Linked DNA regions of Diceros bicornis minor. The protein of the gene in region 1 interacts with the protein of each later gene in a pairwise test. Links are inferred from orthologs where the notes say so. Each region holds a gene or a part of one and is shown on either strand. Other genes may lie near its edges. The genes, in order: MAPK1IP1L and SS18L1.

Region 1 (16,189 bases):
CTTTCTCAGTAAGAGCATCCATTTAGAAACTAACTCATTTAAAAAATGTAGTTATTGGAATATGTAAGTAAAATAAGTAAGTTTTGAGATGAACAATGTGGTAAGATAGAAATATATCTAAATAAAAATTTTGTAACTCTAAGTTGGATGCTGTGAGCATTTGAAAAGTGTAAATTCCAGAGTTGAGAAAGCATTCAACATGGTGGAAATGTGTAGAGCTTACTGGTGAGAGATGATGGGGCTAAAAGAAACAAGATAGAATATTAAAAATTAAGAATTTAGGCATTACCTCAGGGAAAAGCCTTGACAGTGAAAGAGAACTACTTAATCGCTAATAGCTAGTCTGGACTACACACTTAACTGAGCTTTGGGAATCATCCTGCACTAATCAGGAAATAAACTTGACTTTTCTATTTCTCTCTGAAGCTTTTCAGGCCATACCCCTTCCCACCCTTTTTTTTAAGCTACAGCATCTTGATTTATAATTCCTGAAATATGCTGAATGGATTTTTTTTAGGTTCCATGAGCATTTTTATATGAAGAATCATATGTGATCTTTCTATACCCATGCCATTCACTTAAATAATTCATAGAGGGAATGGTTTAATTTAAAGGAAGACCTACTAGGAAGAAGATTAAAGGAAGCTTTTAAAAGTCAGCCTGTGGCTAGATTTATTGATTTGGTGTTCAGACCTGTGTTCTTTTCCTGAATTTCAGCTAATGGCAAACTGTGGTCAAAGAATTGCTTTCAGTTAAAGTTTTGACTTATTATAAATAATATAAAGAATCTCTTAGTAATTAGAAATCCTTTAAAAAGCAGAGCAAATATGGCAAATAGAACTCATATCATTATACAAATTCCATTTCTTTTTATAAGAAAAACACAAACCATTATCATTTATTCATGTGCCAAAGCCATTAAGAACATAAATCAAGTTATCAGCTTCCTGTCTCTCTGAAGTTTGGATCATATTATAGATCCACGTAATAGAGAGCTTCCTTCCTGTGAAACAAAAACCTTGAGACCTAACTTACAAATATACTCAGTTTTCATTAAAAATTTTTTGTCACTTTTAGTTATAATCAATCAGTCAAATAGGTCATATATAGATTTTGGTAGAGCAAATCTCACAGGAGAGTAGGCTTAATTATGAGACATTCCTGGAGACAACACAAGGAAAACAGTGTTTAAATGTAAAAATAGCCTGTGTGTTAGATAATTTAATGTCCAAATGAATAAAATATTTTAAGTCAAGCAGATTATTATTCCTACTTTGGAAAAAAAAATCTTTACAATTTTGGTTTAACATAATCAGTTTTACATTCATTTTTATTTCTAAAGAAGGAACACAAAGCACAGAAGTTTTTTCTTTTCTTTTTTAATGGCCTACGAGAAAGGAGCAGAAATGAGCAACACTACAAGAGTCTGTCTGTACTATTCTAATACATTAAGATATTGGACACAAAATGGATGTAACTTTGAAACTGATTGGCTTCTAAGTAGAAATGTAAACTAATGGATATAACCCAATGGGAAGGGATTTAGGGCACATGAGTCCTATTTCAAATAAAGCCAGGGTCTATTTTTGATTTACTTTTTAATTTTGAATAGATTACTCAATCCTCAATCTTTGCCTTCATTTCCTAGCATATGAAATGTAGGTAATAATACTTGTCACTTAACTTCCTGAAGGATAATTCTTCAGTTAAGAGGTGACCCTTGAAGCATACTTGAAAATAATTTCTGTACAGCTGTTAAGTACTAATGTGATGATAGGTTTTCAAAGCATCTCCTTAGTGGACCCTGCAGATTCACATTCACTCTTTTAGTTTGTAATAGGCTTTCTTGGCTTGATTTGACAATAGAGATAACAGTACAATTTGAATTTATGGTTTAGAGTCTGCAATTAGATGAACAGTTGCAATTTCCTCCTACCCTTAATAAGGTTTATGTAAAATTGATGTTTGCCTAACTTATTTTAAAAGTTAATTACATTTGCAGGAAGTAAAGATAATCGCTTTTGCTGTGGTTATAATCAAATCTAAGCTTTCAGACTTGACAGTGTAAAACTCAAGGAGGTTTACTTAAATTATGCTGACTTTGCTAGAATTGGATAAATTCTGTATAAAGCAAGTATGAATCTGATACATACTTGAATATACAGAGTTTAAGCAGTGACATCACAAAGCTGTTAGAGCTCTCAACAGTCAGGTTTGTATGATCCACCTCTTACCCACAAAGTAGACTTTTTCCATTTTTATTTCTAATCCTGAAGTTGAATGTTTCTTCTCGGATGTGAGTTCAAATAAATTGATCTGAATAAATTTTCATTTCTTCATAATTAAAACTTCATATATAAAATCCAAAGACTTTGTATTTTGTTTTAAAAATGTATAGCCTTAACCTCACACGTTCAATTTAGAATCTGAGAAAGAAAAATTTAAAACTCTATATTTTACATATTTTCTAATGTATAATACACTCCTTTCAGTTTTAGTGTGTCCGTTTGGTTCTTCCAGAGGCAGGTGCCAAGATGTAATTAAATGTGCAAGAGATTTATGGGGAGGGGGGACACCTATGAAGGATAAAGGGGAAGGGAGCAGGAGAAAGTTGGCAAGTCTTCATACCACATTGCATGGCTGACATCTATGAAAGAAATGGAAGGATTGGGTAGGGTGGGCTTTAGGCTGCAGTGCAGTTCTGAAAAAGCTAGGTGGGGATTTAGTTCCCAAGCAAAGGTTACCTGTAGGAGCCCACCTGGGACAGGAAAGGCCTAGCTCTAGAACTCCCACCATGCTCAGTTATCGGCTGGGAGCATGGGAAAAGCTGGAGGCTGTATCACTGATACACCTGACTGGGACTAGGGTGAGGTGAGTGCGGCACTCAACTTGGGCACAAAATTTTTTTGACTGAAAAGCTCAGTAACGAAAAGTAATATTTTGGTGCAACATTTAAAAATCAGAATGCAAAAAAAACTCTACTGAGCAAAATACCAAATTTTAAATAAAGTTAGCACTGTTGTACTGACCTTTCCTGTTGCCACAGGCTTCCTGTAGCTCCACAAGGCACCGCTGATTCAATGCCTCTTATGAGCGCAGGGTAGGTCGTTCACACTGGTGGCATCATTTTCCATAGACCATCGCCCCTATCCAAAAATATGTCTTCCCCAGGCTTAGGTATTTGAAGTTCCTCTATTGCTCATTTTTCGGCATGAGAATTATGTGTGCTGTGGAGCATGCCCAGAGATTACTCTTCATTTAAGTTTATAGTAAAATGTCCACCCACTGATCCACTAACGGCTTGCACACAGAAGCAAAATGTTATAAGAATATTGCATACCTTTAATATATTTTTACATATAAAATATATGTACTATTATATGTATATATTTTTCACACCATACACGTAATTATGACATCTTCATTACTGGCTAGCAGGTTCCTTGACGGCTGGGCCCTGTGACAATCATCTTTCAGACCTAGCAAAGTAGGTGCTTAAAGGTCTATTCAAAAACGAAATGTGGGGAGAAGAGGCACTGATCAGGACAAGTCTGCAAAGACAGCTGTTCCTTTAGTTAATATCAATATGTCAAGCCATTTACAAACGTCTTTCCTTTCCCGTATTGTTTAGCTCTCCCCAATTTTGGCCCAAGGGACCGCGTTCCCCAGTTGGCCCACATCCACACCCAGCCAGCTTCGAGGCCTGCCTGTGAAAACCGCTGAGCTTAGGGAATCCAGAACCTGCCCCTGAGCCACTCCAGGAAACAAGTTAGCAACTTCCCCCAGGCTGCCTAGAGCGCCACCGCCTCAGAACTCCGGAGGACTGGGGAGCTTTCCCTCGCCCACCGTGAGGAAACATTCCCCCGGGCCGAGCGCGCGCAGCAGCCGCAGCGCCGCCAGGGGCCTGCGGGGGGCGCGCGCGGCCCGGCCCCGGGGGGCGGGGCGCGGGGAACGGGCGGGGGCGGCACGCCCGCCGTTTCCTGTTCCGGCGCCAGGAGGAGGCGCGCGCTGCTGGTGCCGCTGCCGTCAGTCAGGCTGCGCCCCGTTCTTCCGCGCCCGGTACTTCGGCCTCTTCGCCGCCTCGAGACCTGCTGCGGGCTCGGATCTTGCCGGGTGAGGCTGCCTCGGCGCTGGCGGGGGTCGTGGAGGGGGTGAGGGAGCGTGCCCGAGCGGGAGGCGGGCGTGGTAACCGAGGTCCTTGAGCCGCCTCTGCGGCGCGGGGCCAAGCGCTTCTCCCCGGTGTCTTCTCCCGGGCCGTGGGCGGCCCCCCGACGGTCCCCCAGGGAGAAGGCGTCGGAGGCGGCGACGTCGCGCCGGGCGGGTCTCTCGGCGCCTGACGTCAGGCCTGGCTGGGGGCGGGGCGGGGAGCGGACACGGCCCCTCCCCCACCCGCCTGGCGGGGCGACCCGCTTGGAGGCCGGTTCGCTCCGGCTGAGCCCGGTCTCCCTTTGTTGCGCTGGCCCCAAAGGGCTGAGGGCCTCGCGGGCCTTGGCCCCGGCCCTTTCCCTGTTTATCAATGTCTAATGGGAAGGGAGGGAGAGGCCTGAACAGATTCTTGGGGGAATCTTCGACCCTTGTTTAACATCATCCGCCATGTGACAACGTTTGCGTCCTTGCTCAAGTTACTAGCAGATACATTCGATGAATACCCGTGACGGAGCCTGGGCGAGTGCGGAGTTCTGTAATATTCTCTGTTGTCGGGTTTAGGAGCGCGTATCATGCATGGTAGCTTATAAATAGCTGAACCGTTTTCCTCTTTGAAAACCCAGAGTAGTGCCTTTAATGGATGAAGATTCTGATGTTGAAGCATACTCAGCTGGCCGTAGAAAAACGTCTTGTTTAGCACTGCTGCTAAAGAAATACACACTCGTACAGCTGGTGGTTGTAAAGGCCGGTTTTGAAAACGAAGTCTCGCTTCGGGCGGAGGTGGCCTTCCGAACTCTTTCAGAAGTCTTTGTTCGGTGGTGTTCCTTGGGCAGGAAGAAGAGAAGTTTTCTTGCTACTGGCGTCTCTGCATCGCCTATTCAAAACTAGTTTGTCTCGGAAACCTAAGTTGCGTATATTGGAGTGTTCTTTTCCTCTCTCCAGGAGGAGCGGAGACCTATCCCTTAACCGAAATTCTTGAGGCCTGTGTGTTTTGGAATTCGGAAATCTTTGGATTTTATCTTTCAATTGTAGAAAGGCAATAAGGTGCATAGATGAGAGGTGACACCCCCAGCAGAGTCAGGCCCCTAATCCAGTATTAACGTTTGTGCAGCCATAGGTGTGAATTAATGAAAACTATAAAGCGCTTCAGGTCAGGTTTTGCCACCAAGTAAGTTTTATACCAAACTTGGGAACGTTTCTTTCGTTTTCAGGTTTCTGAATTGACAACTGCCGATAAAGGTTTGTGGACCTATAACAGCGATTGTAAGAGCTAACATTTGTTGAGTTTTGCTGTGTCAGACAGTGACCAAGAGATTTGTTTATTATGTAAGTCTCAGCGTATCTGTGAGGTGGATTCTATTCCTGTCCACTTACATCTCTGAGGTTTGGAGAGTTCATCTTACCCAGAGCCAGCCGGTGAAGAGCTGCAGTTTACAGCGTTCACTCTTAACCATCTGCAATATGCCCACATAAAAACGAAGACAAGAGAATATCTATGTTGCCCACCCATTATTTTCTAAGCACTGCTATTATAGGCACTTGATTTACGAGTCCCATTTAGTCTGTCATATCACTGGCTTGTTCTTTATAGTTGAAGAAACGGAGGTTCATTGAGGTGAACTGACTGATAGAGACGTTTAAACCTTAGTCTAAAGGCTCTCTGCTAAGACTTGCGTATCCCTCTCCTTTCTATATTCCAGCTAATCTGAACTGCTTAACTTCCTGCAGATTTTGCTTTTGCACAAACTGCTCTCCTTTTCTAGGACCCTCCCAACCATCCCCTGTTCCCAGCTCTTACCCCATTGTTCTCCCAGACTGCTAACCACTGCTCCGGATTCTTCCCCTGATACTCCCTGCCTTGATTCCTTTAGGAGCCTTTGAGGAACTGCCTTAGTGCCCTGTGCTTACCCCAGGTAATGTAGTTACTGTTTTTAAATGGTAGTTCTCTACCAGACTGTAAAGTCCTTAAGCATTTATTCCATGCAATACTATTCATTACCCCAAAACCCAGCACAGTGCCTAGCACATATGTTCCAATAAGTATCTGAATAAGTGTGGGAAATATGGCTGACATGAGGTTGTTGAAAAAATGTGTTCTTTTAATTGTTTTTAAAAATTTTAAATGTTCAGAAGGTTTCAAATCTGCAATTTCTTGAGTTGCCCAGATAGAAGGTATCTGCTAAAAGAGCCAATACTAAAAACTATCATATATTCTAGTTCAAAATTTATATCTTCAGTACAATATATTATCATCCTCCCTCCCTACTAAACAGATCAGTGCAAAACTGATTTCCCCTAGTTTCTCTTAATAAACATCTTACGTGTCTATAGCACTCTATAGATTATTAAATACGTTGCTTTTAATTATCTGTGAAGTAGTCAGGAATTTTTATTTTATAATCGTTTTGCAGATGAAAAAATGGTCTCTGGTTAAGAAACTTGCCATTGTCAAAAGACTCAGTCAAAAGGATTGATGTCTGGGTTTCATAACCATGTAGTCCCATAGTGTGCCATCAGAATTTGCTGGCCCTTTGAAATATTCCTTGTGCAGTAGTCACTAGTAATTTATGAAGTTCATCTTTCTTAAACCTCCCTGTGATTGAATTATCATTTTTATTCCAAAGGCCATAGGCATTATCAAAATGTTGTTTTACTTTTCTAGTGTATGTCAAAAGAAATTTTGTGCTCTGTTTTAAAATTACTATTCTTACTGCTCAGAAAATACAATGATTATTTTTCAGATGATGTGTAGATCCTGCCATAAAGTGATACTGGAAAGTTTTAGAAGTAATATCTTTAGATTATTCCAAAAAGAAAAAACAAAAACCTTTCTTGATTATAAACCTTTTTGTGTGTGTTTGTGGCTAATTTCGGATTACACTGAGCTCATCTTAATAACTAGCATACTTCAGATGTTTTGGAATAGCCTTTTAGAAAATCTAGATATTTTTATATTCTGTAGTTTTTATCATATTGAAACACTAATGTCAAAATCTATTTTTTACCTTTTTATGATGAAAGTATCCCCCTAAAGTAAATTGGAATGTTTTCAGTGAACATGAACACTGTTTATTCTAGGCATGAGGATTAGGTCACTTTGCTACGCAGTGCTGGAGAACAGGGAGTGACTATTTCTAATCCCTTTGGTCAGGGCTTCATTATTTTAATCATAATATTCTCGGGCCGGCCCCGTGGCGTAGCGGTTAAGTGCTCGCGCTCCGCTGCTGGCGGCCTGGGTTCGGATCCCTGATGTGCACCGACACACCGCTTCTCTTGCCATGCTGAGGCCTCGTCCCACATACAGCAACTAGAAGGATGTGCAGCTATGACATAACAATTATCTATTGGGGCTTTGAGGGGAAAATAAATAAATAAAATCTTTAAAAATCTTTATAATCATAATATTCTAGTAATTCCTCTGTTTGCCAGAATTGATTTGGAAAGCCAGAGTTGTAAATCGGTTTAATATTATTAACTTGTGGAATAATTTATATTTTAATGTTGTTCTATGACTAGTTAACTGTATATTATGTATATATGTTTTTCAAAAACTAAGAAAAGAATAATTCTGAAAACCTGAACAGCAAGACCATATGAAATTGAATGGGTTGATTTGTTAGGTTCTCTGCTCCATAATTAATGTGAACTTTGATACAGAACCATTTTCTGTTTCAGAAAGGCTCACCCTCTTTGAAAAGCATGTCTTATGTAGACTTTAAACTTGTGCACTGATAAGGTTTCTTCAGGTGTTAGTCCTAAGAATTGACTGTTTTGTGATGTGATGTTTTAATATAAAACAAACCTTAACATGGGAATGAATGGGTAATTGTATTTGCTGTATATTTAAATGTTTTTTGATATTCTGAATGAAAAACAAGGATATAGCAGTTGTGACTTAGTGGTCTTCATGTTCTTTTTCTCCATCCTTCCTCGTGATAACCAAATCATACTTAAAAATAAAACTCCAGGAATGCAAGGATGGCTCAATGTTAAGCAATCTATTCATTTAATTAACTGTGTGAATGCATAAGGGAGAAAAACTAAGATCATCTCATTAGATGCCAAAGATCATCTGAGGAAATTCATTGTCTTCTCTTTTTTTTTAATAATTTTATTTATTTTTTTTTTTTTCCACCAAAGCCCCAGTAGATAGTTGTATGTCATAGCTGCACATTCTTCTAGTTGCTATATGTGGGACGCGGCCTCAGCATGGCCAGAGAAGCGGTGCGTCGGTGTGTGCCCGGGATCCGAACCCGGGCCGCCAGCAGCGGAGTGTGCGCACTTAACTGCTAAGCCACGGGGCTGGCCCTGACTTTTTTTTTTAACTAGCAAAATAAGAACAAATAAATCTAGCAACATAGACATGAATAGAAACTTCCTTAATGTAATTTTTTAAAATCTCAAATTAAAAATGAGAATTGTAGGGCCAGCCCAGTGGCATAGTGGTTAAGTTCACACAGTCCGCTTTGGTGGCCCAGGGTTTGCAGGTTCGGATCCCGGGCATGGACCTACGCACCACTCGTCAAGCCATGCTGTGGCGGCATCCTGTATACGAAATGGAGGAAGATGGGCACAGATGTTAGCTCAGGGCTGATCTTCCTCAGCGAAAAGAGGAAGGTTGGCAATGGATGTTAGCTCATGGCCAAGCTTCCTCACACATACACTCATACACACACACACACACACACACACACACACACACACACACACACACGAGAGAGAATCGTACTTAAACATTAGATGCATTCCCGGGAGACTTGGGAACAAGACTGCTGTGCTCACTATCACTATTTAACATTTCATTGTTAAGTCCTAGTTGATGCAAAAGAGAAAAGAGATGTAAATACTGGGAAGAGAAGGTATTATTATTTTTTGCAAATACCAAAAAATACCTGGAAATCCCAAAGAATCAACTGATAAGCTTTTAGGAATAAAATAATTCAGTAATGTTGCTGCTTACAAAAGTAATACAATGAAAGGAAAGAGCCAGTTTACAACCACAAGAAAAAGTTTATTAGTTAGAAATCTATCTCACAAGAAATGTGTAGGAGACCTGATTTTTCAAAACTTCTGAGTGATACTGAATGACGGCACTAGGAAGACATACCTTGTTCTTGAATGAGAAGATTTAACATTTTAAATCTATCAGATGGCCCCTAAATTTATCTGTAAATTTAATACAATTCCAACCAGAACACCAACAGATTTTTTTTTTAATTTTTTTACAAAATCATCTGGAAAAGGTGTATGTGAGAGTGTTTGGGAAAATCTGAAAAAAGAAAAGTAGTAGTAGGGCAACTGATGTTAAAATATTAAAAATATAAAACCACCATAATTAAAATGGAATTTTATGGCACAGATAAGTAGAAAAGAATAGAGTCCACAATACCTGTGGGAAATGATGGAGGTTCTATAGCCTGGCTCTAATTAAGAGCCTCAGCTCTGGGCTCAGACTGTGCCTGGGTTTGAACCCCTTTTCTATTTGTCACTAGGTCTGTAACCTTAAACAAGTTAACTTGCTAAGCTTCCTTTTCTCCAGCTGTAAATGGAGGGTGGTAATAGCAAGTTAAACCGTGAAAATACTATAAGAAAGCGTAGGTGAGTTTTTTTTTTAACCTTGGATTAGACAAGGCCTTTGTAAAACAAGCCATATGTGGTTCAGAAAGATTGATAAATTTGACTACACGAAATTAAAAACTTTTGTAGTGCCAAAAAATACCATTTAAAAGATTTAAAAATAAAAGGAACTTGGGATAAAATTTTTTGTCTCATATGTAACAGACAGAACAGAGCTAATTTGCGTACTGTCTTACAAAGCATTAAAAAAAGTACTACTAAGTAGTACAATGATCAATGACAAAAAGTTACATACTGTCTTCTTCTAGTTGTATGAAGTCAAAGAATAAGCAAAAACTAGAAAGTGATTGTTGGGGGAGGTTGATTAAAAAGGAGCATGAATAAACCTTCTGGAGTGAGGTTAATGTTCTATATCTTGGGTAGTTAAGAGAGGCTTAGACAGTTAGAGCTTGTTGACCTGAATACTTCAAGGTCCATGCATTTTATTGAGTGTTAATTATACTTCAGTTTAAAAAATTGGTAAAAGTGGTCCAGGGACATGAGCAAATTCACAGAAAAAGAAGTACCAATGGGATATTAAATTAAAAAGATGGTCTACTTTCTCCTTAAAGTCAAAAGTTGAAACAAGTAAAGAAGTTAAAACAAGATGCTAGTTTTTAATCTATCATAATTGAAAATGATTTATAAATTCATAATAGCAAGTGATAGAAGAGGAACTAGAAGGAAAAGCAGACAGTGTAAATAGGCAAGGGACTTTAAAATTGGCATGGACTTTTGAGATGGATTTTAGATAACCTTCCCTGTTCACTGTAAATTTTGTTTCTAGTATTTTCCTGGTGATGGATTCACAAGTGAGCAAAGATATGTGTTCAGACATGTTTACTGTATCATTGTTTCAAACAACCCAAAATGCAAACAAACCTAACCTGCCACCAAAATGAGAGTGTAAGCTAAATTATGGATCACTTTTGTATGTAAAAAGGGATGAAGTTAATAGAGCTGTATGAACTATTATGGAAATTTTTTCTATATAAAGAAAAACACTCTGTATGAATGATTAAGATTCCATTTAAGTAAAAGTAATGTATGCATAGAAAGTTCCTAAAAGAATATATAAGAGGGGCCAGCCCCGTTGCGCAGTGGTTAGGTTTGCATGCCCCGCTTTGGTGGCCCAGTGTTTGCCGGTTTGGATCCTGGGCCCGGACCTACGCAGCAACGCTCATCAAGCCATGCTGAGGCCGTGTCCCACCTAGAGCAACTAGAAGGATGTACAACTATGACATACAGCTATCTGCTGTGGCTTTGGGGACCAGTCTTCCTCAAAAAAAGAATATATAAGAAATGGTAAACAATGGTTTTGAAATATTCCTTCTTTCTTTTTAGGAAAATGTCTGATGAATTTTCGGTAAGTTGATGCATTTATCCTTTGTAAGTTTTTTGGCTCTTAGGAGAATATAGTCCTAACTGTGGACCATAAGTCTTTTAATTTAAAAGAGGTGCTGCTTGTGATTCTTGGATTGAGGAGGGAGGGGGATGTGATTGTGATAGGTGATTTGCCTTAATTTACTTAGATAAAACATGTTTGAAAACACTTCTTTAGTATTTATTTCTTATGAATCCGTAAGTAAAAAATTTAAAAAGTATTTCTTCTGTTGTTCTCTTTTAACCTGATATTAATAATAGCCACCGTTTATTGAAAATTATATACCAGGCACTGTGTTAAGTGTATCAAGTGAATTATCTCATTTAAGCCTCAAGTTAACCCTAAACTGTTTTTTGAAAATGAGAAAGCTAAAGCTTGGAGAGGGTATGTAACTTGTTTGAGGTAAAGCCAAGTATTCAGATCCACAATATGTTGATTAGTTGTATTGAGAAAACATGAACTTCTCTGAGGAATGTGCATTGTAAAGTTGATAATTCGAAGTAACCCCTGAAGTTTTGTATTAAATGAATTGTTTTTAAACTGAAGAGCTCGGCTTTTGAAGATGTTACAGAGGTTTGTAATCCTTGACCCAGTAGCTTACTATCTTTTATGAGTTTATAATCACGTTTGGCATGACTTGTCCCTGAATAAGATTGGTAAAGACATGCTTGTTTTGTATTCCAGTTGGCAGATGCACTACCTGAACACTCCCCTGCCAAAAACTCTGCTGTGAGCAATACAAAACCTGGCCAACCTCCTCAAAGCTGGCCAGGTTCCAACCCTTGGAGTAACCCAAGTGCTCCACCTTCTGTGCCATCTGGACTCCCATCAAGTGCGACACCCTCCACTGTGCCTTTTGGACCAGCACCAACAGGAATGTATCCCTCTGTGCCTCCCACTGGACCACCTCCAGGACCCCCAGCACCATTTCCTCCATCTGGACCGTCATGCCCCCCACCTGGTGGTCCTTATCCAGCCCCAACTGTACCAGGCCCAGGCCCCACAGGGCCATATCCTACACCAAATATCCCCTTTCCAGAGCTTCCAAGACCATATGGTGCACCCACAGATCCAGCTGCCACTGGTCATTTAGGTCCATGGGGATCCATGTCTTCTGGACCTTGGGCACCAGGAATGGGAGGGCAGTATCCTACCCCTAATATGCCATATCCATCTCCAGGGCCATATCCCACTCCTCCTCTTCCCCAGGCACCAGGGGCAGCACCACCTGTTCCATGGGGCACTGTTCCACCGGGAGCCTGGGGACCACCAGCACCATATCCTGCCCCTGCAGGATCATATCCCACACCAGGACTCTATCCCACTCCCAATAATCCTTTTCAAGTGCCTTCAGGACCTTCTGGTGCTCCACCAATGCCTGGTGGCCCCCAGGTGAGTGTTTAATTTGTTATTTAACATGCACTAATAATCACATAAGCACACCTGAAAGATTATTTGTCTCCAGTCTTGGATGGAAGATTGGAAAGCTTTTAAAACTTTAAGAGAAGGTGTGTGTGTATATCAAGAGTAAATTTCACACTTCAGGTAAAACATTTAAAAGGATGAAAACACAAGTATTCCCAGTACTAAAAATGGAAAGAAAAATTTCCCCCAAATCCCCAAAGACCTTGTAATGTAGCAGTGTCCTCAACAGCATCCTTGAGGTAAACTCAGAGATAACATTTAATTGGACTTAACTTTTTTTTAACATTTCTCAGTAATGTTTTTTAGCATCACACGAAAGCACAGTTCAATAAGAGCAATCCCTGCCTGTCTGGCTGGATATTGAGGTAGACTTTGAGAGAATCCAGAGCAGTGAATATGTAACATTGCCCATCTTGCATGCAAAACTGAGTGTTTCTCAGCCGAAGTTTTTTAGATCCTTAGCAGCATTGAGCTCAAGGTTCTACCACTGTTATGCATTGTGTAATGCTTTATACTTTGCTGTCCGCCAAGCTGGAGTAGAGCTGACGTCTTAGTTAAGGCCTTCTTGGACATATGACCAAATTGAAAAGCACTCTGCTTCCCCCATGAAGTAAGCCAAGTGAGTGTCCAAATGCAGAGTCAAGATTCTCCTTGAAGGGGGAACAATCTGTTTACTCTTAACAAAATAACTAATCAGCTCTCCAACTAGGTTAATCAAACATCCACCCCAACTGTAAAGGAAGAAAATCTTAATAAAGTGCCCCCAAAGCTTCCTTTCATTAGTGTAACTTCTTGCTATATATATTCTCTTAAAAATTTATTTTTTTAAATTGTATGCCAAAATGAGTGAGATGACTTGCTGTTTGGATTTATGATGCAATAAGTTTATTTTAAGCCACAGAAAGGAGTTAATAAACTCCATTTACAAAACCTAGAAGTTTACTTTTTCTTTTTTCTATTGCAGTCTTACCATTAAGGTTAACAATGGATGAAGAGATGACGCTTTGCTTTTTGAAGTACATATATATGCACATGCATGCATATATAAAAATTGCTGTTTCACTATTCTTAGAGGGCATTCATGAATGAACAACTCTTGCACCTCTCAGAGAAGATATCTGCCTCTTGTACTTGGATGTATCAGATGGATACAATCAAAAATGTAAATCATTCAAATGTGATTTTTATTCAGTTTTTATGGAGAGTTGAAGTGATTATGTTGAATAGCTCTTTGATAGAATTTGTTTAAATTATGAAACTACACACTTAAAAACTAAGATGCTGTGGATTATTGTTAGAATCTGCAATCTCATTGGCACATTATTTCAAGTATTTTTCTATAATCACTTTTTCCCCTGAATAAACACTTTGAAAACAATCACATTGTCATAATTTAAACAAATGATAGCTTCTCAATATCTTGAGCTAAAATGATAGCTTCTCAATATCTTGAGCTAACCTTTAGGATAAATAAACCTGGTCCTTTTGAGGTTATTTTTTGGGTATACGTTTTAAAACTGCCAGTAATTATTGTTGAGTTAGTTAGGCGGTGTTCATTTTTATCCTCAAGCTTTTAGTAAAGACTTTTCCTTCATTTTGAGTTCCACCTGATTTATTTTTAGCCAGATGGGTCATACAACTCTAAAATCTGCCTTTTGTGGAAACTTTTTTCTTTTTAATGCAGGCCAACATGTATGTAAATTATGTTCTTAGAGAATTGGTGATCTCTTGGTATTGCTTTAGAATAGGTTATGAGATGTCCATAGTGCTTTGGGAAGAGCTCAAGGAAGGAAATAATTCTCTCCTTAGTCTTGAACCTCAAACTAGAGGAAACCCTGGGAATTGCTTCATAGTGACAAGTAATTTGCATTCACACGAAACACTCTTCCTCCCTGTAGCCCCCCCTCCCTTAGTTCTTTCAAAGGAGCACATCCCTTAATTCCTGCCCGATATGGAAGACTGATACACTCTTGGGGTCTGTTGTAAACACATACAGCAGTTGTGTTTAGAGAACCTTAGTCACACAGACATGACTTCTCTTTGTACAAGTGCGATCAGAATATGTATTTGTCTTTCAGAGTCTGGTTAGACTGTCATTGTCTCTTGCATAGTTTACTGATTTCTGTTTGTAAAGTGCTTATGGCTCACAGTTCAGTTCTGTATTTGCTGACAGGAAATAGGTAGAATTGAGTGCCATCCTTAAAAATTATCCTCAGCTCTAACACTGAAAATAATGATAATAAAGTGTAGATCCCTGTAATTGAGTTTAAAGCAGTATGACTGTTACTTAAATAAGTGTTGCTTGTAACCACCAAAATAGCCCAAGTAGCTTTTTGGCATCTTATCTTGAAATCAGATTTTTAGATTTGGAATAGAATTGACCATGTTAGTTGTCAAATAACATTTTGAAACTTTGAATGTATCCATTGAGTTACAAAAATGTATTGTGAATTTCTTGATCAGCATAGGAGAGATTTATGGTGAAGCTCTTGTTTTTGCGTAGAAATAAGATATTTAGTAGTTTATTTCTCTTACAGTTAAAATGTCAAGAATGTCAAATGCTGCCAATTTAATGGTTTGATAGCTACCTCCTTTTAAGAAAGCAAGATGGTCACCTTTGAGAGGAACATTCAGTGTTTAAGCCTCCCTTTTAAGTAGGTGATAGATTGTTTTGGTATTTTTAGACTGGAGAATGTTGTTAGACCACTCTTACGTAGTGGTACAAGTGGTCTTTTTTTCTTTCACTTTCTTGCAAGGACAAGTGGCAGCTATCTACAACACTCTTGGAATCTATTGTCAAAGTAGCCTCCAAGTTACAAGGCAGATAGCCTTAGAAGGTCTCATAGCTTAAATTACCAGTCAGTATCATCATATCAGCTAGCTCTGAAGGGGTAAGATGTTAGGAAAAGTGAGACGGCAGCAAAGATCTCTCTCCTTATGGTTATTTTGGTTGTCCTACATTGGGATAAGTTGACAACTCTTGCTTTAGATGCAGTGTTTAATCTAACACTACAGAGGATGATGTTTGACTAAAAGAAGAAGAGGCAGCGTTTGGGAATCTGTAATTGTGAAGTCCCTTGATTATCAAAGAAAATCTTTTGCTAAAGGATTTGGAGGACCATGAACACAAGATTTGGAATTACTACTCCCAATAGGTATATTAACTTTGCTAGTGACCCATTCTGCCTAGTGTGCCTAGATAGTACTGCCTTTTTAATCTTTGCTTTTCAAGGACTTTCCAACTGGTATTGGGGATTTTTTTTTTTTAAACGTAGGAGTGGAAATGAAAGGGAATAGAATTTGCTTTTATTATTCTTTTTAATTCTGTAGACTGTCATTTTTTAAATTGGGAGGGAAGGATCTCAGTTCTTATGGATACTAAGGCAAAAAATATTTTTAGGTTCAGGGTAGAGTTAAGAAAATTGAAGTTGTTTCAATGGGGGAAAGCATCTAGGAAGGTTTTTTCCTCTTTACATGGGAATAAGGTTGCGTTCAATACAAGTCTTCATAGTCTGAGATCAGTTTATGAAAGAGACTGCTTGTTACTATCTTTGGTCTTAGGAATACACTGGCATTTGGTCTTTCAGAGCAAGAATATTAAAATAATTTGATGGAGAT
Region 2 (16,699 bases), on another chromosome or scaffold:
ATATAAATTGGTTGCATGAGTAACTAGGTCAGACTTTTAGTATAAGCATGCGTCCCTCTGATTGACAGGGCATTGTGTTGAACATAAGCACCTTGGTAACTAAACCCCTATAAACAGCTATAAAGGTCTTAGTTCTGTATTGATTAAGTTACTGTAAAAGCTTGGGTTTATTTTTGTAGGACTTAATGGCTAAGAATTGGAACATGGCAATGGGGCTGCTCTGTTGGAGTAAGGTAAATTGTAATTATAAATAAACATGCAAACCTTTAAGACTTTTTTCTCTGCTCTGGAAGTAAATAGTCCTGTTGATTCTCCTGCCCAAATCACATCACATCTAACATGCCCATCTGAAGGCAGGGGCTGGTAGGATTTGGGGGAACATCTGGTGCTCTTGAGCGAGACTGACCCAGTTGGTCTGGGTAAAGGGCAGTGAGCCAGGCCTGAGTTTACTGTGGGCCACCCTCCTGGGATGAGTGGCACCGCTCTCCAGACACTTTGGACACAAACTAGTTTTAAAAACTCAGTTCACAGGTAAACCTGCTTAAGAAGTGGCCCCCTTTGCTGCCTTACTGCAGCCTCCAAGTTCCCCAGAACTTCCATGTTCTCAGTCCCTTAGACCGTCACAGGGCTGGATCCCTGGACCGTGCGGGAAAGCAAAGACCTGGCTGCTCTCAGACTTGAAGTGTCCCATTTCACTGTAATGGATGTCCGGGTGACTTTTTTTTTTTGTCAGGAAGACTGGCCTGTTAGTGAGCTAACATCTGTTGCCAATCTTCTTTTTGCTTGAGGAAGATTGTCCTTGAGCTAACATCTGTCCAGTCTTTCTCTATTTTATATGTGGGACACCACCACAGCATGGCTTGACGAGCAGTGTGTAGGTCTGCGCCTGATATCCGAACCCGCCAACCCCAGGCCACCGAAGCACAGCACATGAACTTAACCACTACGCCACTGGGCCAGCCCCTCTGGTGACTTTTTAAAAGCAATCTCAGAGGATAAGGTCCCTCCAGTCAGCTGTGTCCCTCTCCCTTCAGTACCTGCCTGATTAGTCAGGCCCAGAGCATGACTGGGCAGCAGGCAGTCGGCCTGTATTGCTGAGCCCAGCCGTCAGTTTCAGAACCTGAACAAATTCCTGGCAACCTTTCATTTTTTGGCAACCAACGTCCTTGACCAATAAAAAATACAAGTCTTCCATAGTGTACATACTAGATGCAGGTAGCCAGGGCACTAATTCTAAACTAGTTAGGTGGCTCAGCAAACAGGTATTTCTTGGCTAGAGAATCTAGTCAGGTCATAGTCTACCACCTGTGACTAACCTTGCTCTTAACACTGACAACCATTTTGACAATTATGCATTTTATGCTGAGCTTAACGTATCTGGGCCTCTTTACTCCTTTTTAGAGGAAAAATGTCTATGTGCCATTAGATGAGAACCCCAAGCAAGAGAAGCTGTGGATTGAGGTCGAAAGCAGAGCCCCAGAGTCCTAACAGCAGTTGGCAGGGGCGGCCAGCCTGAGGACCCAAAAACCCTGGTATTCTTGGGGTGCAGGGAGCCAAAAGGCAATTCCATCACAAGGACTGGTACCAGGGCCTCATGGGAGGCTGCAAAGCTGTGCAGGTGAAGGAGGTGGTGAGGATTTTTCTGTAAAGACAAACCTTAGGACCATGACTTAAACTTCTGCTGGCCTGGAAGCTAAAAGAGCAGTCTTTCCGGCTAAAATGCAAGAGGGTGGGGAGTAGCCAGTGCCATAAGTCTTAAGATAGAAAATATGTAACATGCTAAGTGTTGATCTAAATCCAGGAATACAATATAATTTGAACACAGCTGCTGTTCTGTAGAGTTCTGAGTTCAAGACTTAAACTGAGTGCTGTTTGTGCTTGTGTCCTTGACATTCGAGGATTTGAGTGGAGGTCTGTGAAGAAACCGAAAGTCAGTCCATCTGTTTAGAACCCTTCAAGGAGAGACACTGAGTTGATGCACCCATCTGCAGTGCCTGTCTGCAGCCGTGCACAGCACCTGTTGCACTTTGCATGCTGCTTGGACTCCTGAAAGCCCTCCCACAAACCCCAAGGGAGGACCCACTCACTTAGAGCCTGGCACCAAGGAACGGAACGGAAAGCTCACACTCGAGAGTGCTCAGAAACCAGAAGTTAGGGAAGTTTTCTAAAGAGCTATCATAATTACACCCAAAAGACACACACACTCTAAAAAAAGGTTAAAAAATATGGAAGTTTACTGTAGGACACTTGGACAGTATGGATAAATGGAATGGAAATGCCTACATGTCATTCTGAAAATCATCCATGATTTGAATTAAAAACCAGTATAAGATTTCATTCATCATGATGCTTTCTTTTGTTTCTTTTTTTCGTTTTCTTCTTTTTCTTTTTCAATTTCAGCAACGTATTTCTCAATTTCTTCAGGATTTAAAATCTACCAAAGAAAAAGAATTTATGGTTAGCCCCCAAGCCACACAAGGTGCCCCAGAGCACCAGTGCCCCCTTGGACTCTGGCCAAACTACACCTCACAGCTGCCACTACAGGAAAACAAGGCCCTGTGTGCCTGATCCAGCCAACAACAGTCAGAGCCTATTAAAAAGCAGATTATCAAATCATCATTTTTTTAGGTGATTATTAAAAAGCAGAAGCAAATCCACAGTTGTTGAGAGCTTTTCAGCATGCCAAGAGCACGCGTGAGTACTATCTTCAACACCGTGGAGACCAACACTGGAATGCTTTCTTTTTGACTCACTGTGGAGAGCCTTGGAAAGAACCTCTTTCCCAGTGCTGAAGCCACAGCAGAAGGGTCTTGAACTTGTACTGCCCCTGCCCTGATCACGGGGAACTCTCCATAAGTAAAGACAGCAAACAAACTTGGTAATTACCTTGAGGGGCTGATCTCGCCTCATGACAGCAAGTTCAATGTTTTTGCCGCCTGACTGAACCACCTTGGAGAGGAGAGAAGAACATCAGACACCTCGCCCACCTCCAGACCAAACAGCTCTGGCAAGCACCTCCAATGATAGTGTGTGCACCTGAACCCAGCACTGCCACATGAGGGAAGAGGGCAGGACACACTGAAGTCCCAGCACCCAAAGCTTTTGTTCTACCAGCACGTCACGTGCAAAGGGTCAGCAACACCTGCGCCCGTCCATCTGCTGGCAGTCGGACTTGGGCTGGGTCACTGGTCCTTCTTGCACAGTAGCTCTGTTCACAACTCGCCCCTCTACATGCAGCCTTTCCCACATCTGAGCTCTGAACCCTGGACCCCAGCCTGGTCCTCCAACTACCCCGCCCTGGCCTCTGTGGCTTCACCTGCCAGCACCTCCACCGTCTTGACAAAACCCAAGTCCTCATGACTCCCAACCATTACTCCCAGTTTCCTTTCCAATCCCCTGACTGCAGCAGCAGCTCGAGCTGCAACAAGGCTGAGTGATGGCTGTGACCTGTGCGCTCCTGGCCAACCACTTAGCCTCTTGCTGCCTCAACTGCCCCAGCCTATAAAGGAGCTAATAAAGTGCCGAACAGTGCCCAGCACTGCTCAGATATCTGAGCAAGCCCTCAGATATCTGGCATTACCGTTGGCACCCTCGCCACCTCCTTGTTGCCCTCTCGTCAGTTGCCCATTCTGCCCAGCCCAAGAACCACCACCCGGTGTGGGTGTCTTCACCATCTTGCCCAGAGATCAAATGCAAACTTACTTCCAGGAGGGCCTTGATAACCAGCTTAATGGTCAGATCGTCTGTTTCGATGGCTTCGTCAGTATAATTCTTCTCTAGAAATTCACGCACTGACTTGGCACCCCGCCCTATGGCATTGGCCTGAAACAGAAAGGTGTATTACATGATGCAGGGCATGACAATCCAGAGCCAGCCCCAAAACAGGGCCACCCCTGTGGGCCAGCCGGCCACTGCCCTGCCTGCTCTCCCATGTGCTGTGGTGAGAGGCAGTCTGGAGGGAGCTGGGTCTGGGCCCCAGGCCCTGCCCTATGGCTTCCTTTCACAAAGGGCTATTGGGAGTTGGTGCTGGTTCTTACCAGGGATGGGATCTACTTCTGTTTCGTTACTGAAAGGCACACAGGCAGTTTTCCTTTAGGCCACGTATCCTTACACCCCACTGTGCTTTGACTTTCTCCGGAACGGCAACATTTAATGACTTCTTTGCTCCCACACCAGCAGGGGTTGTCGTGGAACAAACAGGTGGTGTGTGCGTGCACACACATTTGAAGGACTAGGCCCAGTTCCTCCCAATGGCCTCCAAACCCTGAAGCCCCTGTTTTGTCAGAGACTCACCTTCCAGGCATGGTATGTGCCTGAGGGATCAGTCTGATAGAGTCTGGGGGTGCCATCAAAGTCAAAACCCACAATGAGGGCAGAGATGCCAAACGGCCTGCGCCCATTGCTCTGCGTGTAGCGCTGGCGGGAAAAGGAACACGTTAACACCGTCTTCATAGCACGAAAGGCCCCACAGAACCCACCCTAAGTAACGTGTGACATTCCGAGCTCTGCTTTGAGTGGAGAGATGAAAAGAAACTACTAAGTACACTTCCAGATTATTTGCAATTCAAATGATAAATGAAATCAGCCAATAGTTTTCAGCATTCCCCCTTTCTTTTCCGCATTTTCACTCTTAGAAAAAGACACTCCTATGACCAGAATCACATCATGGAGCACAACTGAGACTCTGGAATTATTTTGATGACAGACACGCATTGTGGCTACACAGTTAGGTTTAAGGACGACTAGCATTTCACCAGAGGGGGAGTGTTTTTCAGCCCCCTCCCAGCTGCTTGGTGACCCGTCATTCAGAACGGCAAGATAAAAACTATCGTTGCCCTCCAGCAATAGGAATTTGGACTGCACCTAAATGAGAACAGAACCATGCCGCTGAAATGGACAAGCTTTAGTAAATTACACCTGTACAAGGACAGATACAACTGCGCGTGGAACAAGTGCAGTTTTCTGATTCCCCTAAAGTGACACATGCAACCATCCATGTGCAACACCAAGGGAGGACACCTTCCATGACAAAGCAGCAACTGCTCCTAGCCAGAACTGGTCATGGGCAAGTGGGCACCCACCTGCTTCAGACTGGCGATGTAGCGAGTGATGTACTCCACAGTGACCGGGTCCTCCACGGTCAGCCGATGGCTCTGGCACTCCACCCGGGCCCTGTTGATGACTATCCGTGCATCAGCGGTGAGGCCTGCAACGATGGCAGAGAGGATCCCACCTGAGCCACACCTCGTCTACTCCAAGCAAGGACAGCACAGATCACAAGAGTGGACAGCGCTAACCTTTGGCAAAGATTCCAAAACCAGTTCTGTGAAACCAACACTGAGGTCATTCTGAGTGATGACAGTGGAATGATTGGCCTCTGTGAGCTTCTCTGAGAAAGTTGGGTGTACAAAGAATTGTGCCTGTCAGAGCATATTTAAACACACTAATCCTTTGACAAGGCAAGTCAACCTCTAGTTTAGGTGAACGCGGATCTTCCTGAACTGGACCTGCTTGAGGGAGGCAATGAGTGAAATGACCCAAGTGCCAAGAACACACTGCAGGCCCTGACAACAGGGCACTGTCCGGCTCTCTCCACTTCACAGGTGCGGTTAGCTGTGGAGAGCCTGACCTTTCTCTAGACTGTAACTCCGATCCAGCATCGGGCTGATAGCAGCAGTGGAGGCAACAGCACAGCCCCCTCGTCCTGGGGGTGTTTATTCATTTAGCCCCTGTGCTTCAGCCACCTGAGAAGGAAAGCTCCCTGCCCCCCACCATGGCCAAACGTTTTCTTAAAGGCCCAAATCGATGCTTTTAAATGATTTTAGTTTAGCCAGTTTACATGTCTCCCAATAGCCCACCCTTCAGGCTAACCTCCAAAGCGCAGGTCTTCGCTGAGCCTCCGAGGAACAGAGCACCAGCCCCCGACTCACCCGCGAATGCCATGCAGACGTTGTCGTCCAGAGCGCAGATCTTCCGCACGGTTCTTTCATCCTGCAGTTTGGCCACTGACTTCTTCTCCACGCCAAGAACAACAATGTCTTTTCCTCGAACGCCAACCTTCAATAAAAATCAACACAGCACTTAACAAAGTGACATGAGATTCTGCCACTCCACACAGAGCATTAAGAGCAGATGTGAATATCCCAGGGGTAGCAGCCCACGCACACCCCTCCCCCACTCCCTGGACCACTGCTTTGGGCACCACACCCTGCAGACCATGGGTATTGATCTGCTTCTGGCAGAGCTAGCCCAGGTATCATGACCTACATGCCTAGTCCTGTGGCTTAAAATACTGTTATGTAGTTTCAGTTACAATACAACTAATAAGTACTGTAATAATAAGTGTGTATAAGCACATGTATCAATTCAACCCAGTAAATGAAAGACTCCAACAAAAGGTGCCTTTAAGCCTGAGATCCTAACATTCAAGTCAGGTGTTTTGAAAGCAGTGTTTCTGCAGTTGTGAAATTACACTAAAAGCTGCCCCACCCTCTCCTGCACTATTGCACACCAGTGTGCACAGCTGTGGAGAAGGCCTGATTTGCTGTCAGGTGGACAACTGTATCAAGCATTACAGGTGTCAACTGCTCTCTGTTTATGGCAGATACTGTAAAGGGGAGAAGGATGTATTCAAAACAGGGAAAAAGCACTGGCAGCCAGTAAACCAGCCAGTGAAGGCAGGAGCAGACACAAATGGGACAATCACTTGGAAAAGCAACATCCCCTCTTTGTTTAGAGCAGGGTTTCTCCGCCTCAGCACTGTGGCCATTTGGGCCGGTGAATTCTTTGATTAGAATCAAAGGACTGTCCAAGCACTGCAGGATGTTTACCATCATCCCTGGCCTCTATCCCTAGGTGCCAGTAGTACCTCTCCACCATCTTGGACAAGGAAAAATGTCTCCACACGTTGCCAAATGCAGAATCACCCGTGGTTGGAAAGCGCTGGTCTGCAGTGTTTCAGATTTCAAGGAGCTTTCTCGTGTATCTTCAAAATTCCCCCGGGGCCGAAAAGAAGGCCAGGCCCAGAGATGCTAGGTGGGTTAAGCAAAGCTAGCCACCTGGGCTGGCCCAAGGTAGTACTGGGGATGGGAATGCGGGGGTGAGCTGTCAACTCTTCCAGTGCTCTTTTAGCTGAGTTAGGTCACAAGATGGATTTTGGGCCTTAATTTCAAAAGAGATTTGGGAAATGAGAAACACTTCGAAATTCACAGAACCCCATGTCTTTCTCTCTGCCTGCTCACATCTCTGAAATACCAGACGATAAAAATTAAAACTATCCTACAGTTTGACCAATAAGCAAACTGACAAGTGTCTCAAAGGCACCACGAATTTAAATTTCAAACAGTGGTCAACATGAGAGGTACAAGCTCAGGTGAAGGGGATGATGGGACAGCACACTGCCCAACGGAGGAGGGATCAGAGCAGTGAGAGCCTGCTAGCAGCCGGGAGCCGCCCCGGGAACTGCGGGCGGACTCTGAGAATCTGCCACCCTTTGTTCCAGAAGCCCACCTGGACCTCCCGACACCTGCTCTCCCTAGTGGGGGAAGTCCCCTGGCGGGGAGCTGTCTGGATGCAGTTCACCGAAGTCACGTGCTTCCTTAAAGAACATCCACAGAGCCAGTAACAGCCAGTCCTGCTGCCCGGTGCGGCCCCTGCACCTCTGCTCGCCTGAGGTGCATCAGCGCAGCCACACCGAGCTCCCCGAGGGCCGGTGCAAAGGTACCCCGCCAAGATGGCCGTCACCCCAGGCGCTCACATGCTCTGGAGACACCAGAGAGAAAGGAAACTGGCTCTTTGAAATGTACTGCGGACACTGAACTCGCTGGTCTCCAAGGCACCCGTCTAAAGTGACCGGCAAACATGGACCACACTGGCCCCTACGTGAAAATCAGCGTGATGAGAGCAATGTGGTGCGACATCACGGTTCCCAAACGTGCCCCTTTTCTGCTTCCTTTAGTAACACCAACGTTACGACTTCCCTGTGTTCAACTAACGCCCCTGTGGTAATTCCGAAAGGCCAATCCAAGCGAAGCCTCCCTGCGACCCCGAGAAGGCCCTCTGCGCGGCCACTCGGGGGAAGCTCTTCGAAAGACGCACCCGGGCCCCGCCCGGCCGGTAACGTGGGTCCTCGGTCCGGAGACGCCGCCGCCGCCGCCGCCCGCCGGGACCGAGGCGGCGCGCGAAGCCCCCCAACACCCTACTCTGTCCACGAGCGCTCTGGCCGTCTCCCCGCCTCCTCCCCCTCACCGCGGCCGACCTCCCGGCCCGCGCCCCCAACACGCCGGGGCCTCCCCCGCTCCCCCCGGCCCGCTCCGGCGTCCCCCCGCGTGCCGCGGCCTCCCCGCGAGCTGAGCCCCCGCCCGCCCCGCGTCCCTCGGCCCGGCGCGCTTCCGCCGCCCCCGCCCGGGCGCGCAGGCCCGGCGGCCGGCCGCTCACCGCGGTCGAGCCCTTCTTCACGGCCTCCTGCGCGTACTCCACTTGGAAGAGGTGGCCGTCGGGCGAGAAGACGGTGATGGCGCGGTCGTAGCTCATGCCGGCGGAGCGGAGCGGCGCGGGGCAGTCGGCCCGGGAAAAGCGCACACTCACGGCCGGCGCGGCCCGCGATTCACGACGCCGCTGCGCCCGCGCCGCGCGCGCCCGCCCGCCCCCGGCGCCGCCAACTGCGCCGCTGGCGTAAGGCGGTGACCCGCGCGTCAGGCGGCGTCGGGCGGACGTGCGCGCGCCGGGGCGGGGCCGGGCCGAACCACCGGCGGCCGGGCGCGGGGGGAAGGTGCGGCGGCGGCGGGCCGGACACGCAGCGCGGGGCGGCGGCTCAGGGGCGCCGCGCGGGGCTGGGGCTTGGGGGCGGGGGTCGCCCGGGGCTGCGGAGCTGCGGGCCCGGGGGCGGCGCGGCGGCGGCGGGGCGGACGAGCCCACGGCGCGGCGCCCCCCGCGCCCCCCCCCCCGCCCCCCAGCGACTGCGGAGAATGAGCACCTCGGGCCGCCGAGCGCAGCCGGAGAAGAAACCCTGATGATCTCGGGCTGAGCCTGTGTCCGCGACGATGTCGGTGGCGTTTGCGTCTGCTCGGCCGAGAGGCAAAGGGGAGGTCACACAGCAAACCATCCAGAAGGTGGGCTGGGGGCCGGGGGCCGCGGGCCGGGGGCACGCGGAGTGCGGGCGGGCGCGCGGGGCCGGGGCACAGGCAGCCGGCGGGCGCGGAGCGCGAACAAAGCCGGGGCGCAGCCGACGACCGCGACCCCGACGAGGCCCCGCGCGCGCTCCGCGGCCGGCCTGCGCCAACTTGGTCGGGGGCGCGCGGGGCCACGGGCAGGGGCGCAGGGCGGCGGGGCCAGTCGCCCGCGGGGTGATGTCCGAGCGGTGGTGTCCGCCGGGTGGTGCCCCCCCAGGTGGTGTCCTCGGAATGGTATCCGAGGGGCCAAGTGGAGAATAATCCCGGGCCGCGCCCGGCGCAGTGGGGACCCGCCGCCTTCCAGGCCAGGGCGCAGGGCGGCGGGATTGGGTGCCCGCGGGGTGACGTCCGCGGAGACCCGCCTGGCTGGCGAAGGCTGTGGCGCAGCCCGGCGGGCGGCCCCTGGCCCCTGCGTGCAGCTTGGCAAGTGAAGGGGGCGCGGGGCGACGGGGACCTGGCTCAGCAGCCGGCTACGCCCTTCGCCTTACTAAGATGCTGGCACTCCAAGGCACCAAGGGGGGCGTCCCGAGTGTGGGACGCCGTTTTCTCAGCCCTGCAGCCCTTTAAGGAGCGCGCAACACCTCGGGGTTGACCTGCTGGCCAATCTTCCAGGCCCTTATTCGCGTGTGAAATTGTTTTTCAGCGTGACACTGGGCCGGACACCTCCTCACCTAACCAAGTGTGCAGATTCTCTTTACAGCTTTTCCCCGAGTTTTGTAAGTTTGGTCTTGGGGTTTTTTAGAGATAACTTTTATATGGGTTTGGGGACACCTTTAACAAAAGCCTTAAGTTTTGAAATTGAGATTTTAAATTTTCTGCTGTTTCTTTTTAGAAGACAAGTTCAGAAGAAGATCCGTGTTAGCCATTCCCGTTTCAGTTTTCTCAGCGTGCTTGATAGCTGCATTGATTTCTTTTCTAATCTCTGGATTTCTGAGGTCAACAGCAGTGTGTCCTGTTCCCCTGAGCCTCTTATTTCCCCAAGGGCATTCACCTTGAGGATTGCGGCCTCTTCATGACACGCGTTGTCCTCAGCCTCTCGTCTGTTTCGAGACCACCTTTGCTGTGGCTGGTTTTGACACATGAGGTGCCTCAGGAAACTCTAAACAGGAGAGAGGCGATTTGAGAAGCAGCAGAAATATAGACTTAAAAGTGGGGGTTTTTTTTTGTTGTGTAGTAAACACTTATGTGGTGCTTACTGCATATCAGGCCCTGCACTGAGAGCTTTGCAGATGTTAACTCACTTAATTCCTCGTGGTAGTTACTATCATCTCCATTGTGTAGATAAAGAAACTGCAGCACAGGGAGGCTGAGTGCCTTGCTGGTAAGTGGTGGAGCCGGGAGTTGAACCTGAACGTTGGCTCCGGGGGTCTGCTGTAACTATGACGCTGGATATGGAGACACTGGGCTGGCCGAGGGTCAGGTGCTTGGCTCAGAGGCACGTGTTGGCCGTCCAGGAGTCTCTCAGCACCCTGGCTCTTTGGAGCCTTAGTGTGATAAGCACATTACCGTTCCTGAAACCACCTTTGGCTTCAGCATTTATCCAGTTATTTGCACTGTGCATCCGCCCCCTGCTAAAGCTCCCCAAATTCTCCAGGCAAACGTGTGTCTTAGAGCATTGCCCCCAAACATCCGATCAGAAAGAGGGAAACCTGTGGATGGCATTCCAGGCAGAAAGTCGGCCTGCTGGCCATCGACACAGGCCGGTCTTCAATTAGGCTATCACCTGGTTTGACCTGGTGGGGCCAGCAATCTGTGGACTTGCCTTAGTGTTCTCATGCTGAATATATGTACCCAGGGCTCTTTTACTGGCAGTCTGAGAAGGGCGTGAGCAGCGCGTGGGCTGTGTCCACAGCGTGTGCTCGTGCTCAGAGCATTGAGAAAAGCGAAGGGTTTCTCAGAAGCCTGCTTGGTAGTGCAAGAGCAGTAAGTATACTCCTTGTCCTTAGAGTATATCTGGGTAGGAATTTGTCAGGCAAACTCCTACTCAGCCTTCAAGGCTCCGCTCAGATGTGCCCTCCTTCATGCTCCCTCGGTGGTCATGTGGTGAGTGTAGCACCTTGGCACACAGCTTGGGCTCCCAAGTTTGCGGGTCACCGATTTATTCTTTGTTGTGTCCCCAGCCTGGCACAGTTAGTGCCCAGTACACACTGGGGCATCTGGGACGCCGGGTCTGTGAGTGGCAGTGCTTGGGATAGGCAGATGTATTCATTTCCTGGGGCTGTCATAACAGACTACCACAAACTGCGTGGTTTAAAACAGCAGAAATTTATTTTCTAAGAGTTCTGGAGCCCAGAAGTCCAAAATCAAGGTGTCACCAGGATTGGATGCTTTCTGGGTCTCTGAGGGAGGGTGGTTCCATGCTTTTCTCTGAGCTTCTGGTGGTTGCTGGCCATCTTTGGTGTCCTTGGCTTTTACACGTATCACCCCAATCCCTGCCTCTGTCTTCACCTGGCTTCCCCTCTGTGTATGTCTCTGTGTGCAGTTCCCCTCTCGCCGTAAGGACGCCAGTCGTAGGGTGCAGGGCCCACCCTGACCCTGTGTGACTGCATCTTGACTTGATCACGTTTGCAGAGACCCTATTTCCAAGTGCGGTGACGTCTACAGGTGTTGGGAGTTAGGACTTGAGCATATCATTTTGAGGGACACAACTCAACCTGTAACAGAGGATGTGTGGGGGAGTGGTACTCCAGACAAGGAGAACCAAGGAACAGAGCTAGGAAGGGTCTGGAAGATCGAGGGAGTCGCAGGTGGTCCCATGCATGGCCTGCATAGAAGGGTCTGGAAGATTGAGGGGGTCCAGGTGGTCCGGCCCGTGGTCTGCGTGGAGCAGGAAGGGGGCCAAACCTGGGAGGACAGGGAGAGCCGGCCTGCGCTGGAAGCCTGGGCTATGTGCCGGGGTGGTTGACCCTGGGGTGGCTGAGCACAGTTTTAGTGTGGGGTGAGACGCTTGCAGAACTGCACTTTGGTGAGAACCACAGGGGACACGACTTTGCCGAGGACTCTCCTCTCAGGTGGAGAGGGGCAGTGTCCCAGCAAACTTCAGTGGCCCTCGTGCCTGGCTAGCTGGCCCGCAGGCTGGGACCTGCCCTGTGCTGCCGTCCCCTGGTTTGGGACCAGCGAATCCCCACTGTCCAGCTCTGGTGGGGTGGGGTTGCAGCCATCTCCATGGACCGCGAGGCTGCGCTTGGGCACGTTAGAGGGGCCCCTGAGCATCGGCCTTGCTGCTTGGCACACAGTAGTTGCTTAATAAATGTAAGTACTATTGTTACTGTTTGTGTTGGTGTTCTTAGTTTGTTTCCTTGGCTGGAGGGTGGGAATGGCATCTATTCCTTCTGTACCTTGTGCAGCAGAGACAAGGTCGGTGGGGACAGGACAGAGCTGATAGGCAAGGGGACATCTGGGTCTAGTTTAGGAAAGTGAGACCAGAGAGGGCGGGTGCTGTGCGGGGGTCTGAGAGCCAGGGACCAAAGGGGGACCAGCCCTGCCCCAGTGTCCTCCATGCCCAGGGGCTGGGGGGCAGGGGCACGGGTAAGGGCTGGCCATCTGGGTCGGGGGTAGGTGCCCTGTGCTCTCTCACACCTGGAACTCCTTGTCTTAAAGAACATGGGCTAATTTGATAAGGAAAGTAAATTGGCCATTTTTAAAGTTAAAGCTGTCCCCGTGACTACAGATGGCTTGGGCACTCCTAGCCTCCCATTAACTTGGCTGATTGATCCTTTTAGGCAGTTGTTACTGAACGCGCTTTCTGCCCAGTGAGCAGAGGCCCCCGGGAACGATCCTCGGATGGGAGGGGCAGTGTCCCCTCGCTCAGGTTCTTGGGGCCAGCCCTGGGGAGGGGTGAGGGCAGGGCGCCGTGGAGGCGCAGGAGAAGCTGGGACCGGGGCTGCTGCATGCTGGCCAGCTCTTAGTTGGCTTCTTTGTCAACTTCTGTGTCTTAACGTGCTGCCTGCTGAGGGTGCTGCTCTGCAAGGCACTTGAGCACGCTTGGACCTGAGCACTGCAGAGGCTCTGACTCCAGCCCCCTCGGGTGGGGAGGCATGGCGTCTAGCCATGCCCAAGCCTCTGTCCCCTCTGCCGAGGAAAACCTGGCAAAGGCTCTCCTGCTGGGTGCTCCTACAAAGAAGGTGTGCTCCCTGCCTGTTGCTCAGGCCCTCAGGAGCCCTTTGGGAGCCCCTCAGGCCTGGAGGACCAGGGAGCGTCTGGATAAAGTGCAGTGCCCACCCCACCTCCCTCTCACTCCTTTCCCTCCTAAAGCAGTCACCTGCCTTGTCCAGTGGCTGCCTCATCCACAGGCTGCGCCTGTCTTCTATGTGGTAGCTGTGTGCACAGTGTGGAGGCAGAGGGAGAGGGACAGCAGCTGGGTCTTGCCGTGTGACACTCACACGTGTCCCTGTTAGCTCTCTCATTGTGGCTCCAGCCCTCTGCCCCCAGCTTGTTCCCTGGGCCAGTGGTTTGGGGCCTGGGCACCTGCTCCTGTGTGCTTGTGGTCAGAAGGCCGCTTCCCTGGGATCCCCTGGCTGCGCGTGAAGAACTATCATGCCCAGCCCCACAGAGGCAGGAGTGAGGGGGGCCTGGTGGTGATGTCGCCAAGTCCTGCAGGACCTGGGAAGAGGTTGGGTCAGTCTTGACTGTCTGATCCACAGCGTGCACCTCAACTGCTTACCCTGCCGTGTGAACGGGACAGGAGTCGAGAGGAAGAAGGTGCTAGATGTCTGTGCAGAGGGGGCTCCTGTGACGAGGCCTCATTCCGCTTGGCCAGCACGTGATTCCTGTGCAGAATGCCCGTCGCCATGGGCTCCTTATGTTTCTCTTCAGTTGGAGACCGCTGTGGGGGAGTGGCCTGGGGGCAAGGATGGGGATGGACTCCGTGGAGCTAGGGGGGTTTCCTGGGCTCATATTCTTATTCTGGTGGAAAGCCAGGCTCAGCCTTCTGCACCTCAGCTTCCTTGTTTTAAACGAGGATGCTGTGTGAGCCCCTCACAGGCCGTGCCTCTAGTTAGAGACATCACCTGGCTCAGGAGCGTGCTCGGCCTGGTGACCGATCGTCTTCAGCCTTTGGGTCAGACGTTTAACCAGCATTTATCAGCGGCCTTCCGAAAGGGAGGCGAGGGTTCCATCCAGATGGCAGGAAACTATCGCCAAGTCCAGAAAAGGGACCTGCGGGGTGAGACGTGTCTGGATGTGCCGCGTTCCATGCATCGCGCCCCTCCCCCTTCAGCATGGGGGCTCTCGCAGAAGCAGAGTGGTTTTGCTGTGCTGTGTTCACACGTTTATGAGCATCCCCAACACTGAAGACAGGAAGTGACTCCCGCGCGGCCTAAGGAAGATGAAAGTATGTTCGCTGTTGCAGTGACGTTAAGATGTTTTCCAGGGTCCTGAGAGTCTGGAAATTGGACGTGTGTATCACACACAGAGGTAGGACCAGGAGCAGAGCCAGCTCTTCCCAAGGACACTGCATGTGTGTAAGGTTTGGGTTTTTTTGAAACTCACCTAATTCACATACTCTGCAGTTGGGTAAATGTTCAGGGGGTCCCGTTGGCTTCCATCAGCAGAGTTTGTAGCGCCGCTTGCCGAGCTCTGATGTTGCCCAGTGGTGGCAGCTGCCATGTGCTGGGGGATAGAGCCCTGATCATTAGCAACGTCTGCCCTGAGGTCGGCAGTGGGAAGAGGGGGCACAAGTGCCAGGGTGGCTCAGCCACCTGGTGATGCTTAACTAGCTGTCCAGTTAGCCAGAGCTCGTCCCTCTCACACCTCAGGCGGCTCCTAGGAATATACCTCACATGTCCATCCACCCCGTGTGTGGGGGCGTGCATCGCGGCACTCTTTGTAGCGGTGGAAGATGGGAGACCAACTGAATACCATGTGGAATGCCCTGGAGCTTAGGAAACAACGGGGTGGGATCTTCACGCACTGAGACAGGACAGTCTCCAAGACACCAGAGAGGAAAGGGCGCGATGTAGACCAGCGGGAAGGGATTGTTTCCATGTGTTCACACAGTGAGGGGGCACACGTCCAGAAGGAGCGGGGGTTGGTTAGCCCTGGTGGCCTTGGGTGGGCGCACGTGGCCCACCTTTCACTTGGGGCTGCCTGAACTTCGGCATGCCCGTGAACCTCTTCCCATTTAACCAGAAAGCAGCAAATCTTTGTTGATTAAAAGAACAGCCACAGGGACATTGTGAGGGATTTTTCTGCCCATTGTGGGGTGACCTGAGCCCTCCCCAGTAGTGAGCCTCGGAGCTCCCAGGCCTCTCTGTGCCCCTCCTTCCAGGGCCGCACACAGGTTGTCGTGGGGGGCTGCTCCCTCCGTAAAGATCCTCAACCAGCTTTCCCTGCTGGCGCCAGCCCCTGTCCCCCACTCTCTTTGTGGGCTCTGGGACCCCCAGCCCCTTCCCTTTCCCGGTCTCTGTCATCCTTACCCACCCAGTCAGGACTGCCCATGTGGCCTCAGCAGTTCCAGGCCTGTCCCGTGCCAGCCCTGCCTCCTGGCTCGTGTGTTCTCTCTGCTGGCCATGTCCGTGGGAAGCAGTGCCCTGGCCCTCCCAGCCTGTTGCCCTTCAGTTCCCTTACCGCCAAGCCCAAGTCTTTGTAAAGCCTGCGTGGTGGCTTGTTACAGAGACAGAGACCATGGAGTGACATCTCTCGCTTCTGCACCCCTTGAGCCTGCTCCCATGTGGACGCTGGCCTTGGCCCCATGAACCTCTGACCCCCGGGACATCAGCCAGCGTGACAGCAGAGGCTTGATAAGCACTTGTGCTCTGGGGCTGCCCTCTCAGAGCCCTGAGAGCACCAGGATGACCACATGGAGAAGGAGGCACACGCATCCCAGCTGTCCCATGAGGCCAGCCACCAGGTGACCCTGTGATGATCCCATGTGAGACCAGCCGCAGACCTGCACAGACAGCCTGGGGTCATGAGAACTAAGAAATGGTTGTTTTAACAACAGTGCGCGGGTTTCGTTTTGCAGCAGTGGGTAGTAGGTGTGCCCATGTGTGTGGTGACCTTGGTCCCATCAGCCTCTGCACTCAGCCCAAGCTGCGATTGAGAAAGTCACCCTCACTCCGCTGGGCACAGGATTCCCATCCCCAGCCACCCCACTGTCCCCTGCTCTGACACTCCACAACCTCATCTCCAGCTCGTGGAATTTGTCTCCACTCCTGGACGTGCCCTGCTCCGCCACACCTTTGCACACACCGTGCCCCCCAACTGGGCTGTCCTTTCTCCCGTCTTCACCTGTGTGCCCCTGGTCACCTTTACAGCTCTGGCTCAGATGTCATCTCCAGGTGCCTCCCAGGGCCCCCGCTGCCAAGATCACACGCTGCTGCCATGTGGCACCAAGCAGATGTGTGCCCATGTCAGTCTCCGCCCAAATCTGGCCAGCTGCCGCCACTCCACTATGAGCAAGAGCGCGGTCTCACCTCCTCCCTGTCATGCTCACCAAGGCCTCGGACGGGCCTTCAGAGTGGGGATCTCACCACCGCTCGCCAGGGCGGCCCTCAGTGCTGGCCTCTGGCTCCCCCAGGTGGTGTTGC

The links.
Region 2: the proteins of MAPK1IP1L (region 1) and SS18L1 interact in binary tests that used the Homo sapiens proteins (3 or more experiments, as listed by UniProt). The two-hybrid records come from large-scale screens. The link is inferred for Diceros bicornis minor from reciprocal best matches to the Homo sapiens genes MAPK1IP1L and SS18L1.

What each region holds. Positions count from the first base shown.
Region 1 is NC_080763.1:5,147,356-5,163,544, forward strand, and holds MAPK1IP1L (MAPK-interacting and spindle-stabilizing protein-like), read left to right. Parts: upstream 1-3,998; 5' UTR 3,999-4,113; intron 4,114-5,357; 5' UTR 5,358-5,385; intron 5,386-6,017; exon of another isoform or gene 6,018-6,059; intron 6,060-11,106; 5' UTR 11,107-11,110; coding exon 11,111-11,128; intron 11,129-11,830; coding exon 11,831-12,538; intron 12,539-13,535; coding exon 13,536-13,547; 3' UTR 13,548-13,949; downstream 13,950-16,189.
Region 2 is NC_080758.1:1,938,223-1,954,921, reverse strand, and holds the start of SS18L1 (calcium-responsive transactivator), read left to right. Parts: upstream 1-8,940; 5' UTR 8,941-9,041; coding exon 9,042-9,110; intron 9,111-16,699. Other genes in the region: PSMA7 (proteasome subunit alpha type-7), read right to left, coding at 2,342-2,434, 2,887-2,949, 3,703-3,822, 4,294-4,416, 5,082-5,206, 5,931-6,057, 8,437-8,532. UniProt on the Homo sapiens protein: Transcriptional activator which is required for calcium-dependent dendritic growth and branching in cortical neurons. Recruits CREB-binding protein (CREBBP) to nuclear bodies.